3 linked regions of the Rattus norvegicus genome follow. The protein of the gene in region 1 interacts with the protein of each later gene in a pairwise test. Links are inferred from orthologs where the notes say so. Each region holds a gene or a part of one and is shown in the gene's direction. Other genes may lie near its edges. The genes, in order: Hprt1, Sdcbp and Iscu.

Region 1 (4,288 bases):
AATTATAATTTTTAAATCATATTAAGACGTAAAATAAATTATCTTGAGGATAGCCTATTATCTGTTTTAATGTTTTTGAAGAATTTTAATATATTTGAATTAAGTTAGTGTCTCACTATGTATCCAAGGCTGGCCTCAGAGTTGGTAGTCTTCTGTCTCAGACTTCTGAATGCTGAGATTATAGGTATATGCCAACACGCCCAGCACAAATCCCTATTATAAATTAATGCATATTTGTATTAATGGCAGTCACATGAAAATTCTTGTGGTTTCCACATAAAATTTCTTGTTACACAGGTACATTATCAGAAATAATATAAAAAGGGGAAATGAACTTAAGCTATGATCAGCTCATTGTATACAATTCAGATTATGTAAGCCTTTGTAGTAAAATAACATTGTTCATTGGCCCAAGCAAGACTCCATTAAATGGAGGTGGGACTCACTTGGGAGGCAGGGGGAGAAGGTTGGCTTCAATCATTCTCAGCCTCATAGTGAGTTCAAAGCCAGCCTGAGCTCATGGGACTGTCTCAAAAAAGAAAACTATTATGAATTAAGAGTTGGATAACAAGCCAGTTGTGGTGGAACATACTTCTAATCCCAGCAAGGACAGGGAGAGTTCCAAACCAGCCAGTGATGAAACAGGAAAGGGTGTGTGTGTGAGAATAATAGAAAATTGTTGTGTATTTTAGGAATAGTAATCAGCATGTTCAAAGTTTTAGAATGGACAGAAATTGCTAGGTGTGACCTTCACATACACACATTCAAACCCATGTAAATACACACACACACACACACACACAAGCATCTAATATGAAGAGTTGTAACACTATTTTTGCTTTTTGGGGAAGAATTGTATCATTGTGGCTTTAATAAATTGGGTATGATGGTTCATACTTGTAAACCCCATCATATGGGTAGCCACAGCAGGAAGATTGCCCCAGGTTTGAGGATGGCTTGGTCTATATCATGAGATTCAGGTTAGGGTGGACTACAGAGCCAAGACTATCTGAAATCAGAAACAAAATTTTTACTGTTAAAATAACAATATAAATATCTCAGAACAAAACGAAAATTCTCAAACATGAATCTGTTTTAATTAGAAATCAAGACTTTTGCATTGGTGAATAGTTTGGTGTGATGACAGAAATAGAATTTCTATTTTTGAGTAATTCCTGATTATCTGTTTGAATTCTTAGGCTACATGACTGAGAGTTGGGTGCACATCTGTAATCCCAGCACGCAAGAAGCAGAGAGAAGATGATAGCAAGTGTGAGGCCAGTCTAGTCTCTATATCTAGGTCCAGCACAGATAGAGTTACATAATAAGACCCTGTTTCAACACACATAAAAAGACTGGGATGAACTTGGCAGAGTTCATATGGGGTTTAATTGAAATAGTCTTTGAAGTTCTTGGGTAGTTACCTGTAGAACCTGTAGTCAGGCACTGAGCCATTTTGGTAGGTGCAGTAGTATGATGAAACCTGGGTGTGATATGCCACAACAGAAACAGCGAGTGAGCCGGTGGAGCTTGTGAGTATGCCTCAGGAAAGTCCGTGTGGTATACTAATCTTGATTCTAAGGTACTTTGAAATGATCCGAGTTTATTTTTGTTAGATTATAGTACATACATTCTCATGAGCCTGGCATGAATGTTTTTTTCTTATAAAATTGCCAGTCTGTCATCTTTCCTCAAAACATAAACTAAAATTTCCTTAATAAAGCTTACAGGGGCTGGAGGGATAGCTCAGCAGTTAAGAGCACTGACTGCTCTTCCAGAGGTCCTGAGTTCAATTCCCAGCAACCACATGGTGGCTCACAACCATCTGTTAATGGGATCTGATGCCCTCTTGTGTGTATGAAGAGAGTGCCAGTGTACGCACATAAAAAAATAAAAATAAATAAATCAATAAATAAATAAATATGAGTGAACACAGAACCTTTTTTTAAGAAAACTTACAAAACTGCTTTTTTTTATAAAATACTCTTTGAATGTTCCTTTATATGATACAAATGTCCAATTTCTATTTTTGCTAGTAAATGTATTTTATTTTATTTTTTTTTTTAATTTTTTTCGGAGCTGGGGACCGAACCCAGGGCCTTGCACTTGCTAGGCAAGCGCTCTACCACTGAGCTAAATCCCCAACCCAGTAAATGTATTTTAATGTAAATATTATGTGAATTTTTTGTTTTTTTATAATTTTATCTATTTCATTATTATATATGTAAGTACACTATAGCTGTCTTCACACACACCACAAGAGGGCATCGGATTTCATTACAGATGGTTGTGATGGAGTGCTTGCCTAGTATGCATGAAACCCTGGGTTTGACACTGAACACTAGGTAAACTGGGCTGTGATAACTCATGTTCATAGTCCAAATGCTCAAGAGGGAGAAACCAAAGGTTCACGCGTAGAAGGTCAACTGCACAGTGAGTTTGAGCCCAGTTTGGATCCATGAGAGAGACCCCACCCACGTCCTGCACTATCTCACTATAACATTTACTGTCAAAGATAATGGCTTTTATGATTTACAGTTTGGGGATATTTTTAAAGACAGGGTCTTTGTAGCCTCTAGCTAGCTAGCCTGGGATTTACTTAGTAACACCTGCTGGCCTCATTCAGGAACTTCTACCTCAGTTTCCCAAGGACTGGGTTAATAGGGATGTGCCGCTTTAGCTGTTAAATGAATTTACTGTACTTTTTTCTGTGTGTACAGGTACATGTATATTTATAAAACTATCATACTATATTTTCTCCACCAAGGTACCATATCATTAATACTATTAAATATTTTGTATGCTGGGCTCTGGACATACTAATATAACCAATATGGTACAATGCAAAACAGTTTTGGAGTATCTTCTGTGAAGTTATTGTATTAGATTGTAATCATCTCAGACTTTTAACTTTGAGTTTTTGAAGGATCAGTTTTTTGGTGACCTGCACACACACACACACACACACACACACACAACAGATAACATAATCTAGGGGATCAAGGAGATGGCTCAGTCTATAAAGTGCCGGCCATGTCATCTTCAGGACCTGAAGTTGGAACCCCAGCACAGAGAAGGCAGAGACAGGAAGATCCCTTCGCTTCCTGGCCAACTAGACTAGCAAAATTGGTTGACCAGGTTCAATGAGAGACCCAGTCATAAAACATAAGTAAAATTTTTAGACCCAGTTTCAATCTCTGAACTCTCTCTATATATGTCACGTTTGTCATACCTCAGTTTTTTCTCTTTTTCTCTTTGTGACCCAAAGGGAATTCTGTGTCATCCCCCGCCCCCGGAGCTGGGGACCGAACCCAGGGCCTTGCGCTTGCTAAGCAAGCGCTCCACGGCTGAGCTAAATCTCCAACCCCTGTGTCATGTTTTACTTCTCATTCTTGACCCTTTTCAGCAATAAGACACATGGTTTTCTTAGAGAAGTATAATTTATTACAAAAACGGTAAAATTTAACTGCTCTAAATACCCCCTCATACCTAAATTCCTCTGGTAAACTAAGACTTATTATTTAAGTTGAATTAAATGTGGATATCTTATAATGCTTTGTTTTGAAACAGCTGTCTTTCTTTTGCAGATTAGTGATGATGAACCAGGTTATGACCTAGATTTATTTTGCATACCTAATCATTATGCTGAAGATTTGGAAAAGGTGTTTATTCCTCATGGACTGATTATGGACAGGTTAGTAAGACCTTGATTGAAGTTATTTTTAGAGGGGTGTGGGGGGGCATATGTGATATATATGTGAAGTGCATGCATGTATATGGAATCCAGAGAAGGACATTAGGTATCCTAGTCTCTTGCTCTCTTATTCCCTTGAATCAGTGTCTCTCATTGAACCTGGAGCATACATACTGATATGGGTAGGCTGTCTGCCTGGCTAACAAGGCCCAGGGATCTGCTTGTATCTGGCCCCGCAGTGCTGAAGTTACAAGCAGGTGCAGCCACACCTGGTTTTTATATGGGTGCTGGGGGATCTAAACCTAGGGCCTGATGCTTGCACAAGTGCTCTCACACGCCAAGCCATCTTTCCAGCCAAGAGGGTTTTAATTCTAACTTAGCAATTGTTAAGTAGTTGATATTTGAATATATAAGCTAAGCCAATTTATTAATGAATACAAGTTTTCTATTTTTTTACTTGTACATATGAGTTCCTACATGTATGTATGTGAAGCATATGCATTCCAGGATGCCAGAAGTCTGGTGGATTCCCTGGAACAGGAGTTACAGATCATTGTGGACCACTGTATGGGTGCTGGGAACTGAACTTAGGTC
Region 2 (4,288 bases), on another chromosome or scaffold:
GATCCCACAGTTTTCTTCTGAATTTCTTTACTGAGACGAGTGCTGTCACTGGGTTTATATAATCATATGAAAGCATGCGTGTGATAGAATTCTGGGCTTCACATAGGGCAGCATATGTGAGAGTAAAGGAAGAGTGGACCAGTGAGAATTGGGTGCACATTTTTAAACTAAGTGATAATTACTTATGAGGTGGTTCTGCAAGTTTGTTATTTCTGTTCATAAAATTTGAACCATTATCCTCCTGGATTCTGTTGCAGTCTAACTGTTCCTTAGCTTCAGTGAGTCCATCTTTCCACATAGAAAATAAGCGTATCACAGTATTCAACTGAATGAGGCTGATGTAGGCAGGAAAGACGAACACTACCTTTCCACTCAAAAGGCTGAGGGCATGATTGTGTGTAGCCCTCTGTCCATGCTTCAGATCCGTCATTGTGCTCGTAAAGCCCTGGCCTCACTGAAGCTCAAGTGTGGTATAGTTCAGCAGAGGTGCCTTAGCACCGTTCTAGTTTACTGCTTGGCACAGGTCAGTCAGTGGGATGCTGCCTGTTGCTACTGCTTCATGGCAGATCTCATGTCTGGTCCACCACAGACTGTAGGCTTGTGCTCGGTTCAAAGTCTGATTGAACCAACAGAAGTTCAAGATAAGTGTGTGTGTCCTGGGAGTTTATTGTTAGAAGTACTTTGTTGTTGCTATTGTTTATCCCCAGTTTTATTGATTATTTTAAGAGATGAATAAAGTGGCCTTTGAGCTAAAAAAATACGGAATTGTTACCCCAAACTATCATTTAATTGTTTTTATAATTGTTTGTGTTGAGTGTTGGCCGGCATATTTGTGCACCATATACATGCCTGGTATCCTTACAGGTCAGAAAATAATGCCAGGTCCCCAGAAACTGGAGTTACATGTAGCAGTGATAAATTATTTTCTTGTTCTCTAGGGTATATTTGTTCAACTAGTCCAGGCTAATTCCCCAGCCTCCTTGGTTGGGCTGCGATTTGGGGACCAGGTGCTCCAGATCAATGGTGAAAACTGTGCCGGCTGGAGCTCCGATAAGGCACACAAGGTGCTCAAGCAGGCCTTTGGAGAGAAGATTACCATGACCATTCGTGATAGGTGAGCTGCTCCCCACCAGTGACACTGAAGTGCAAGCCCATATTTAAATAGAGTTGTCTACTTTTTATTTTTTAAGGCAAATATTGATTTATTACATCTTGCTGTTAGGTGTTTTTCTTACGTAGTTAGATTCTTTTCATAGAAGTCTACATTTGCATATACATTTTACCACCCTGTCTGGGAATCTGTCCTCTAAGCAAGCTTTCCTGTCTCTCTCTCTGGAAAGGTTATATATGCATCAGGAGTAACTGATGTAGGAAGGGCTGTGGCCTCACTCTGTAGCACACTGCCTAAGCGTCCAGTGCCAGGGCCCCTTGTCATGAGGACTAAATGTCAGAGAGTTCCTAAGGACTCAGTTTTGAAACCAAATCTGGTCTGGGGTGGTTGTGCAGTTAAGTAAAAGAGGATGAGTCATTCTGCATGGTCGGTGGTCTACTTTTAACCTGGAAACTGTACAAAAATGATTTGCCTCTTTTCTTCCCAGCTCCCACAAGTATTAAGACCAGTATCACCACTCTGAGAGAGTAAAAGTGACATTGATCAAAAAATGTTTATTAAATTCCTAAATGTAATAAAAATGGAAAAGTCCATAAAATTGTTTTAATGTGTAAAGCAGAATTTCATAAAAATTGGACCAGGTCTGGCCAGTTTGGTTCCCATACCCAATAGGGTGGGTCACAGCCGCCTGTAATATCTGTTCCTTTCTTCATAGGCACCTGCACTCACATGCACAGGCCCACCTGTGCCTTTTTTTTTAAAAAAAAGCAGTAACATTGCAAATACAAAGACATCACATGTTGGAATTCACCAGACTCAAACATTATAAACCTCAGGGAACCTCTGTACAGATGTTCATCTATCCGGAATCTCAGGGAACCTCTGTACTGATGTACAGCTATCCGGAACAGAAGCTGTGGAGGGAGCTTCATGGTGGATTTTACATTTCCACCCTAGAATGTATTTTTTGAGTTACTCACAACTATAAGCAAATTCATGAAAGAAAAGAAATCACTTTAACTTCTTTTATAACTCAGTGTGGACCAGCTGCATTCAGTCCTTTCCTTTGCCCTAACCTTTACCGTATTGCTTTCCATGTTGTATCGTGTGCACCTTTGTTTATGTGCATACACTATTGGCTAGGTTCCGACTGGGAGGAAAGTGCATCTCGGTTAACTCCAGCTCATTGCTGTAGTGAATAAAGCAGGACTAAGTGTAGGGGCACAAGTGTGTCAGCAGCAGGCTGTGGGGTTCTCTGCATGTAGTGTGTGCCTAGGGGTGAAGTAGTAAGGCCATGTGCTAATTTAATGTTTTGTTTTGTTTTTTTTTGTGTTTTATTTTTTTTGAGAAGCTTCTAAACTTATTAGTGGCTATATTAATTTGTACCCTTGTTTTTTGATAATAGTCATTTTGATGAGTGGAGGGGTAGTATCTTGAAGTAGTTTTAATTTGCATTTTCTTGATGACTGAGCAGTTTTTGTGCGCTGAGAGGTTGAGACAGTTTCTCTGTGTGGCCCTGGCTGTTCTGGAACTCACTTTGTAGACTGTTCTGTCCCTGAACTTTAGAGATCTGCCTGCCTCTGCCTCCCGAGGGCTGAGGTTAAAGGGTGGAATTAAAGGCATGTGCCACCTCCCCGCTGAACTTTTTAACATAGTTACTGGACCTTTTAAGTTATTTTGAAAAAATATTTTATTAGTTCATTTGACCGTCTGTTGATTGGTGACTTTATTTCCTTAGTATGTAATTTCTGCAACTATTTATAAATTCTGGGTGTTAGCAGCTTGTCTGAAGTTTGGTAAAGGCTGCCCATGCTGTGGCCTTTTGCTGTGCTGATTGTTTCCTCTGGTGTACAGAAATATTTTGTTTCCATGTGGTCCCATCTTGAATCTTGGGCTTCATCCCTTTACTGTTGCTGCTCTACGCAGAGTTGTTGTCAACCTCAAGTGCTTGAAGGGTGTCCCTGTGGTTTCTTCTAGAAGTTGGAGCCATTTAGGATTTAGGATTCTGGTCCATTTTTATTTTATTTTAGTACAAAGTGAATCTAATTTCACTCATCCACAGGTAGAATCTGTTTTGCCAGTGTTGTTTCTTGAATTGTTTTTTCCCCATTATATGATTTTGCTTTTGTTGCCAAATCTTTTCGTGCACTCACTCCGTTGCGGTGGTCTTGTGTTTACACCAGCCCCAAGAGTTCTTCAGGCTGTAGCGGTGGGTGCTCTGCTCCTGAGTATGGCAGCCCCAGCAGCGTCCTCGCTCCTCAGCATCCCTTTGGCCCGCTGCACTCTTCTAAGGGCCCAAGGGAATTCTTGGTTTGCTTTTTTTTCTAAACCTGTAAAGTCCAATATTAGAATTTTGATAGGTATTGCATTAAATCTGCAAATTAATTGTGTTGTAGTAAAGGTATTTTTATAATAATTCGGCCAATCCAGTTGCTTGGACTTGCCATCATCAATTAACTTCTGTGGTTTCCTTTTTCAGTATCTTTTGCATTGGGAGAATCTGTCACTTACAGAAAGGGCTTTCACATCTTTGGCTAGATATATTCTTAAATGATTTAAAAAGTTACTTTGAATGGAGTTGGACTAATAGGAAGGTAGAGCTGCAGACTTTCCTGCTGTAAACAGAGCACGTTCAGAAAGTCAGTCAGCGAGCATTAGTGGCATGACAGCTTCTGCAGGCAGAGCTCGAGGCCTTTTTAACTGTAGCTTGTGCCTTCCCGTCCAGTCAGGCCTCATGAACCCCCACTCACTGCTTCTCTGGTGGGTCTTTCACATTAGAGCCAAGTTTTGCCTGTAATCCCGGCCACCTAGGTGGGGTCCTGGCGCACGTGGTGGGGAGAGCTCATCCTGCAACTTACACTTTATGCATAGCACACCTAGTAAGTAAGTGAAAGGAACGAATCCGTGAAAATGTCAAAACTGAGATGTGGAAAGTGCAGGGAAGTTTAAGGCTTAAATGTCTGAGACCAGCTGGTTCCAGAGGTGCTGGAAGGACTTAGTGGTTTAGTGGAAGGGCATCTGGCTCACTGTTAACGCAAGGTATGTGGGCTGTGGAGGGAAAGCGCAGTGATAACTCCATGGAGCACTATGCTCTCTCCTCACACTAACAGGGTATCTCAGTAGTGAGTCAGTCAACCCGTGTGACATGTTAACCATAATAGATTATTAGAAACACCT
Region 3 (5,054 bases), on another chromosome or scaffold:
AACACTTTCAGCTGAGTGTCACCTTGGGCAGGAGCCTCAGTTTCCCAGTGAAACCGGATTAACACTACTTCCCCAACCATGAAGAGGATCCAATGGAATACTTTACGGAAGTTCTGGGCACCCACTGAGCTCGGGAACCGGGGACCCACGGTGGCTGACAGCGCCCTGGAGACCTCAGCGGTCTCCATAACCACGGAGGACCGAGGGGGCGGGCCGGGCCTGGGGACCCGAGGGAAGAGAACCCGCCGCCCACCCCGGCCCACCTGCTCCTCCAGCCGCTCGATCTCCAACTGGTTCTTCTCCTCCTCCTCGTCGTACTCCCACTCGTCCTCCCCGGCGGAGCTCTCGGCGGAGGAAGCCATGGCGGCGTCCTCCTCATCCCCATCGCTCTCGCTCACACCTTCCTGGTGCACCTCCCGCTCAGGGCCCTTGGCTTTGGCTGTCTCCGCGCTGGACAGCACCTTCCTGCCCACACCCGCCGGCTTCGCCTCATCCTCCTCTCCCTCAGCCTCAGGCCGGGCCTGGGGCTCAACCTCCGGCTCGGACGCCGAGGATGCAGTCGCCGTCGCCATCTTGCGCAGCCCGCGATTCTCGGGTCCTCCCTCGCCCGCCGAAGCCCGGCGAACATTAGGCTGTCCGTGGCGTCTGCCTGACCAAAACTCCGCTCGGCGCCAGCGGAAGTGGCACGAAGGGCCTCAGGGCGGAGGAAGCCGTGAAGACTCCACCACTGATATTATCCTTAGGCGTCTCTGGACGCCACTGTCAGGAAGAAAGGCTCACTAGCATAACCTGCGTCGGGCTACGACCTTGGACAGCTTTTGGGTCTTGGGACCGGAAGTGGCAGCCATACCGGCAGTTGTGTGTGCGTGATGGCCATAGTTAAGGTCCAGACGCCATCTTAGGAAGGTCAAAGTCATTTTTTTTTTTTTTTTTTTTTTTTTTTTTTTTTGGACTAAAGGATTTCTGCAAGGCTCAGCCCGCTCCAGTGCGTTGTTGTTTCGCAGCAACCGGCCCTCAGGTGCGGACAAAATTCCAGTTCCTCCGCGATACAATGCACCATTCACGAGAAAAGCCTATCTCTCAGTATAAAGCTCCCTCCCCTTTCTAGCACCTAGTATCTAACAGGTGTTAGACGCATCGATTTTGTGACTATATAGCCAATGCTAACACATTACAGTAAGTATCGTCTCGGGATGCAGTGGATTGTAAAACAAACATGTACATGTCGAGGAGGTATGGTGTTTGTTTCTTTTATACTCCTCGTTGTTGAGGTAGAAAAAAAAAAAAAGAACACTGCTGTTTTCCTCTGCACTGCCTTTCTCCTTCATCAGCAAGGTTAACGAGACAGGAATTGCTTTCCTCGGGACTCCCAGGAATTTTTTTTTTTTAGTGACACCTAGTGTACACTTGACATGTTATTTGCTCCGTAGATGAAACGGCTGCCTTTGAATTAGAAAAAAAAAAGCCTGAACCTGAACAGAGACTCATGCAAGCTCGAATCCCAAATAAGCCTGAGTCTGAGCATCCTCGGGCAAGTCAGGCCCGGCTTCCCACTTCTGGGCGGCCCCACGCCCATCGCAGCACCAGACAAACGTGACCGCAGCTTCAGACCTTCCCGCTCTGCGCCGCGTCCACGCCCCTTCCGGAGGCGTGACCAAAGAGACCGGCCGAAACGCGTGCACGCGCTTGGAGCGGAGAGCGCAAGCGCCAAGCAGCGGTGACGTCATACAAGCGCGCCCTCCCTTCGGCGTCGCAGAGGTCGACGCAGGTGCAAGCCGGCAAGATGGCGGCGGCTGGAGCGGGCCGTCTGAGGCGGGCGGCGTCCGCGCTGCTGCTCCGGAGCCCGCGCCTGCCCGCCCGGGAGTTGTCGGCTCCTGCCAGGCTCTACCACAAGAAGGTATGGGCGGGCGAGGGGGTACGCGAACCATCGAGGGGACCTGCAGCTGTTGCACAGATAACCACCGAGGACCCCGCGGCCACCTCAGCCCCGCCGCGGCCGCTACTCCAAGTGTCCCAACTCTGACAGCCCAGAAGGGAGGGTCCTGGTATGTCGTGCCGGGGGTCAAGGGGCAGCACACATACATGCATGAGCACACGTTGCAGCACCGGCATGCTCACCAGCTAGGCCATTGCCCTGGCTAATTGGCCTTGAGCAAGTCACTGACCCTTGCCCAACCTTTCTCTTAGATCTCACATGGGTCTTCTGCAGTCCCTGTGTGTAGAGCGCTCGGTCCAACAAATGGAAACCACTTATGACGTTTACTATAGGAGCTGATGGCCTCGAGCTCAGCCAAGCACCTAGGCAACATAAAACTTCGATTCTCGGTTATTTATTTGTGGTGAGCAGAAAGTATGGAAGGGTAGTTTACGGCCCCCGCCTTCTAGGGACGTTAAAGTCCCCTTGACATGAGACTCACTCGAAAAAAACAAAACTACCACAAGCTGTACAAAACACCAAAAGTCCTGATTAGATGATGCGTGATGGAGCCCCAGGGCTTAGATTCAAGGTGCAGATGAGGGTGCCTCCTGGTGACTGGGGCTGGGGGGGGGGGTGGAGGGCACTCGGTTTTTATCTTGGTGTGTCCCTGACTTTAATGGCTGTTTGTTCTGCTCTGGCTTGGGTGCCATTGCCCAAGGCCTTCACCCCAAAGGGAAGGTTGTTTTGTTGACATTAGCTACAGGACCTTGTGCGAGCTGGCAGCGTTAAGGCACCAGAGGGCGCTCCTGCATCGGGGTGGCGGCGTGTTTGTTTACAGCCACCAATGACTCATTCATTCCCCAACCTCCGGCTCATTTCTAACAGTCACCTTGAAACTTCTTGGGAAATCTTACATTTGGAGCCATTTTTATTCTTGGGATTTTTAAGTGTATAATTCTCTTTGTGTATTGTGTTTGGTAAAAACAGAAATGGTGCTTGAGCACAGACCTGGTAGAATGTCTGAGTCAACTGATGGCTTTTGGTTGACAGCCCCTTGAAATGAAGGTGTGGCTGAGTTTTCACCGATACCATGGACGTATCTCCAGTACAAAGGTCGTTGGGGAGGAGATAGAGTTTAGGTCTCACTTTGAGCTCCTATCTCTGTCCCATACAAATTGCTGATCCGAGGGAGAGAGGAAAGCCTCAGTGATATCTGTTGATCTGCCATTTCAGGTTGTGGATCATTATGAAAACCCTAGGAACGTGGGGTCCCTTGACAAGACATCTAAAAATGTTGGAACCGGACTGGTGGGGGCTCCGGCATGTGGTGACGTCATGAAACTGCAGGTACTGGCTGGATGAAAAGGATCACCCCCTGCACCCCAACAAGAAGTTTGCTCACAGAGCATTTCATCTTGTCTGCCATTCCTGTGAGGAGGGATGGGCGGCTGACAAGGATGGGTCTCTGTTCCGAAACAGGTGGCCTCATTCTCCACAACACCACCACACCAAGGCATCGGTAGATCTTGCTTTCACCGAGTGAAAGACTTTGTGACTGTTCTGACCAAATGAAGGCCCCCAGTGAGAAAAGGAATGTGTTAACCAAACCTCTCCAGGAAAAGGAAGCGGGGTGGAAGGTGGTGGGCTGGGCCTAGGTCAGCTGGAGTTTTAGCTCAGCCTCAGCCTCCTTAATGGCAGGCAGAAAAGAGCTGTTAATTACAGTTGGTGCCCAAGAGAAAGGGATTGATGGAGACCTTGGTTACAGACTCTGTCAGTGCCTGAGGTGCTGATGGGGGGACATCTATAAACAGACCCCTGCAAAATAGGCACTCACATACAGCAGGCAAGGGCCGAAAACAACCAAGCGGGGTGAGGGGCACTGTTCCTTGCCCCTCTCCCAGCTGAGCCTGTGTGGACCCCAAGTTTCACTTTCTGTCGCCAAGTCCTTTGAAGCAAAACACAGTGATGAATGTCATGGCATGTGGAGTCATAGCAAACCAGGGCTCGTGTGGAACACTCACCTCTGGAAGTTCCCGGCTCCCGGATTCCAGGTGTCAAGCTGTGGCCTCTCAGCTCCCGTCTCTTTTCTAGATCCAGGTGGATGAAAAGGGGAAGATTGTGGATGCCAGATTTAAAACATTTGGCTGCGGCTCCGCCATTGCCTCCAGCTCCTTAGCCACGGAGTGGGTAAAGGGGAAAACGGTAAGGCTGCTCAGAGAGGGAGGGAGGGAGGGAGAGAGAGAGAAAGGGGGGGGGGAGCCCATTTTTCTAAGGTTTAATTTCTCTTCCTACCCGAGCACTGATTACATTCCTTACTCTGGAAGTTTAAGACCATCTTGTTGCTTGAGGCAGTGTGTTAGTCACTGTTGTCACTGGTTGCCAGTTCAGTAGATGAGAATCGCCACCAGGCCTCCCAGCAGTAGAACTGAAAGATGGTTTTGGGCTTTCCCTGATGTCCCTAAGGTCACCAAGGTCCCCTAAGAGCTCCTGAGCAGCATTTACTGTTTGTTTCATCCCATCTCCTCCTTCAAGGAGGAGTCCAGAAAGACATGCACAGATTGCAAAAACAACTTTGTCGGAGGGAGGAGTTGGAATTCAAAATCTGGGGCTGGAGAGATGGCTCAGTGGTTAAGAGCACTGACTGCTCTTCCAGAGGTTCTGAGTTCAATTCCCAGCAACCACATGGTGGCTCACAACCATCTGTAATGAGATCTGATGCCCTCTCCTGGTGTGTGAAGACAGCAACAGTGTACTCATATACATAAAATAAATAAATGTTTTTTAAAAAGAAGCTAAGGAGCATTTAAAGAAAAAAAAAAAAGACCCAGTAGCTGTGAAACTACCCACACCAGCACAAGGTGGTGGCACACGGCACACCAACCTGTAATCCCAGCTCATAGAAGGAAGGGGCAATTTTTTTTTTTTTTATCTTTATTAACTTGAGTATTTCTTATTTACATTTCAATTGTTTTTCCCCTTCCCGGTTTCCAGGCCAACATCCCCCTAACCCCTCCCCCTTCCCTTCTATATGGGCTTCCCCTCCCCATTACCACCCTCCCCCCAACAATCACGTTCACTGGGGGTTCAGTCTTGGCAGGACCAAGGGCTTCCCCTTCCACTGGTGCTCTTACTAGGC

Evidence for each region.
Region 2: the proteins of Hprt1 (region 1) and Sdcbp interact in binary tests that used the Homo sapiens proteins (3 or more experiments, as listed by UniProt). The two-hybrid records come from large-scale screens. The link is inferred for Rattus norvegicus from reciprocal best matches to the Homo sapiens genes HPRT1 and SDCBP.
Region 3: the proteins of Hprt1 (region 1) and Iscu interact in binary tests that used the Homo sapiens proteins (3 or more experiments, as listed by UniProt). The two-hybrid records come from large-scale screens. The link is inferred for Rattus norvegicus from reciprocal best matches to the Homo sapiens genes HPRT1 and ISCU.

What each region holds. Positions count from the first base shown.
Region 1 is NC_086039.1:137,661,790-137,666,077, forward strand, and holds part of Hprt1 (hypoxanthine-guanine phosphoribosyltransferase), read left to right. Parts: intron 1-3,587; coding exon 3,588-3,694; intron 3,695-4,288. UniProt on the Homo sapiens protein: Converts guanine to guanosine monophosphate, and hypoxanthine to inosine monophosphate. Transfers the 5-phosphoribosyl group from 5-phosphoribosylpyrophosphate onto the purine.
Region 2 is NC_086023.1:24,307,479-24,311,766, forward strand, and holds part of Sdcbp (syntenin-1), read left to right. Parts: intron 1-938; coding exon 939-1,114; intron 1,115-4,288. UniProt on the Homo sapiens protein: Multifunctional adapter protein involved in diverse array of functions including trafficking of transmembrane proteins, neuro and immunomodulation, exosome biogenesis, and tumorigenesis.
Region 3 is NC_086030.1:48,515,385-48,520,438, reverse strand, and holds the start of Iscu (iron-sulfur cluster assembly enzyme ISCU), read left to right. Parts: upstream 1-1,742; 5' UTR 1,743-1,783; coding exon 1,784-1,897; intron 1,898-3,151; coding exon 3,152-3,265; intron 3,266-4,009; coding exon 4,010-4,120; intron 4,121-5,054. Other genes in the region: Sart3 (squamous cell carcinoma antigen recognized by T-cells 3), read right to left, coding at 264-572.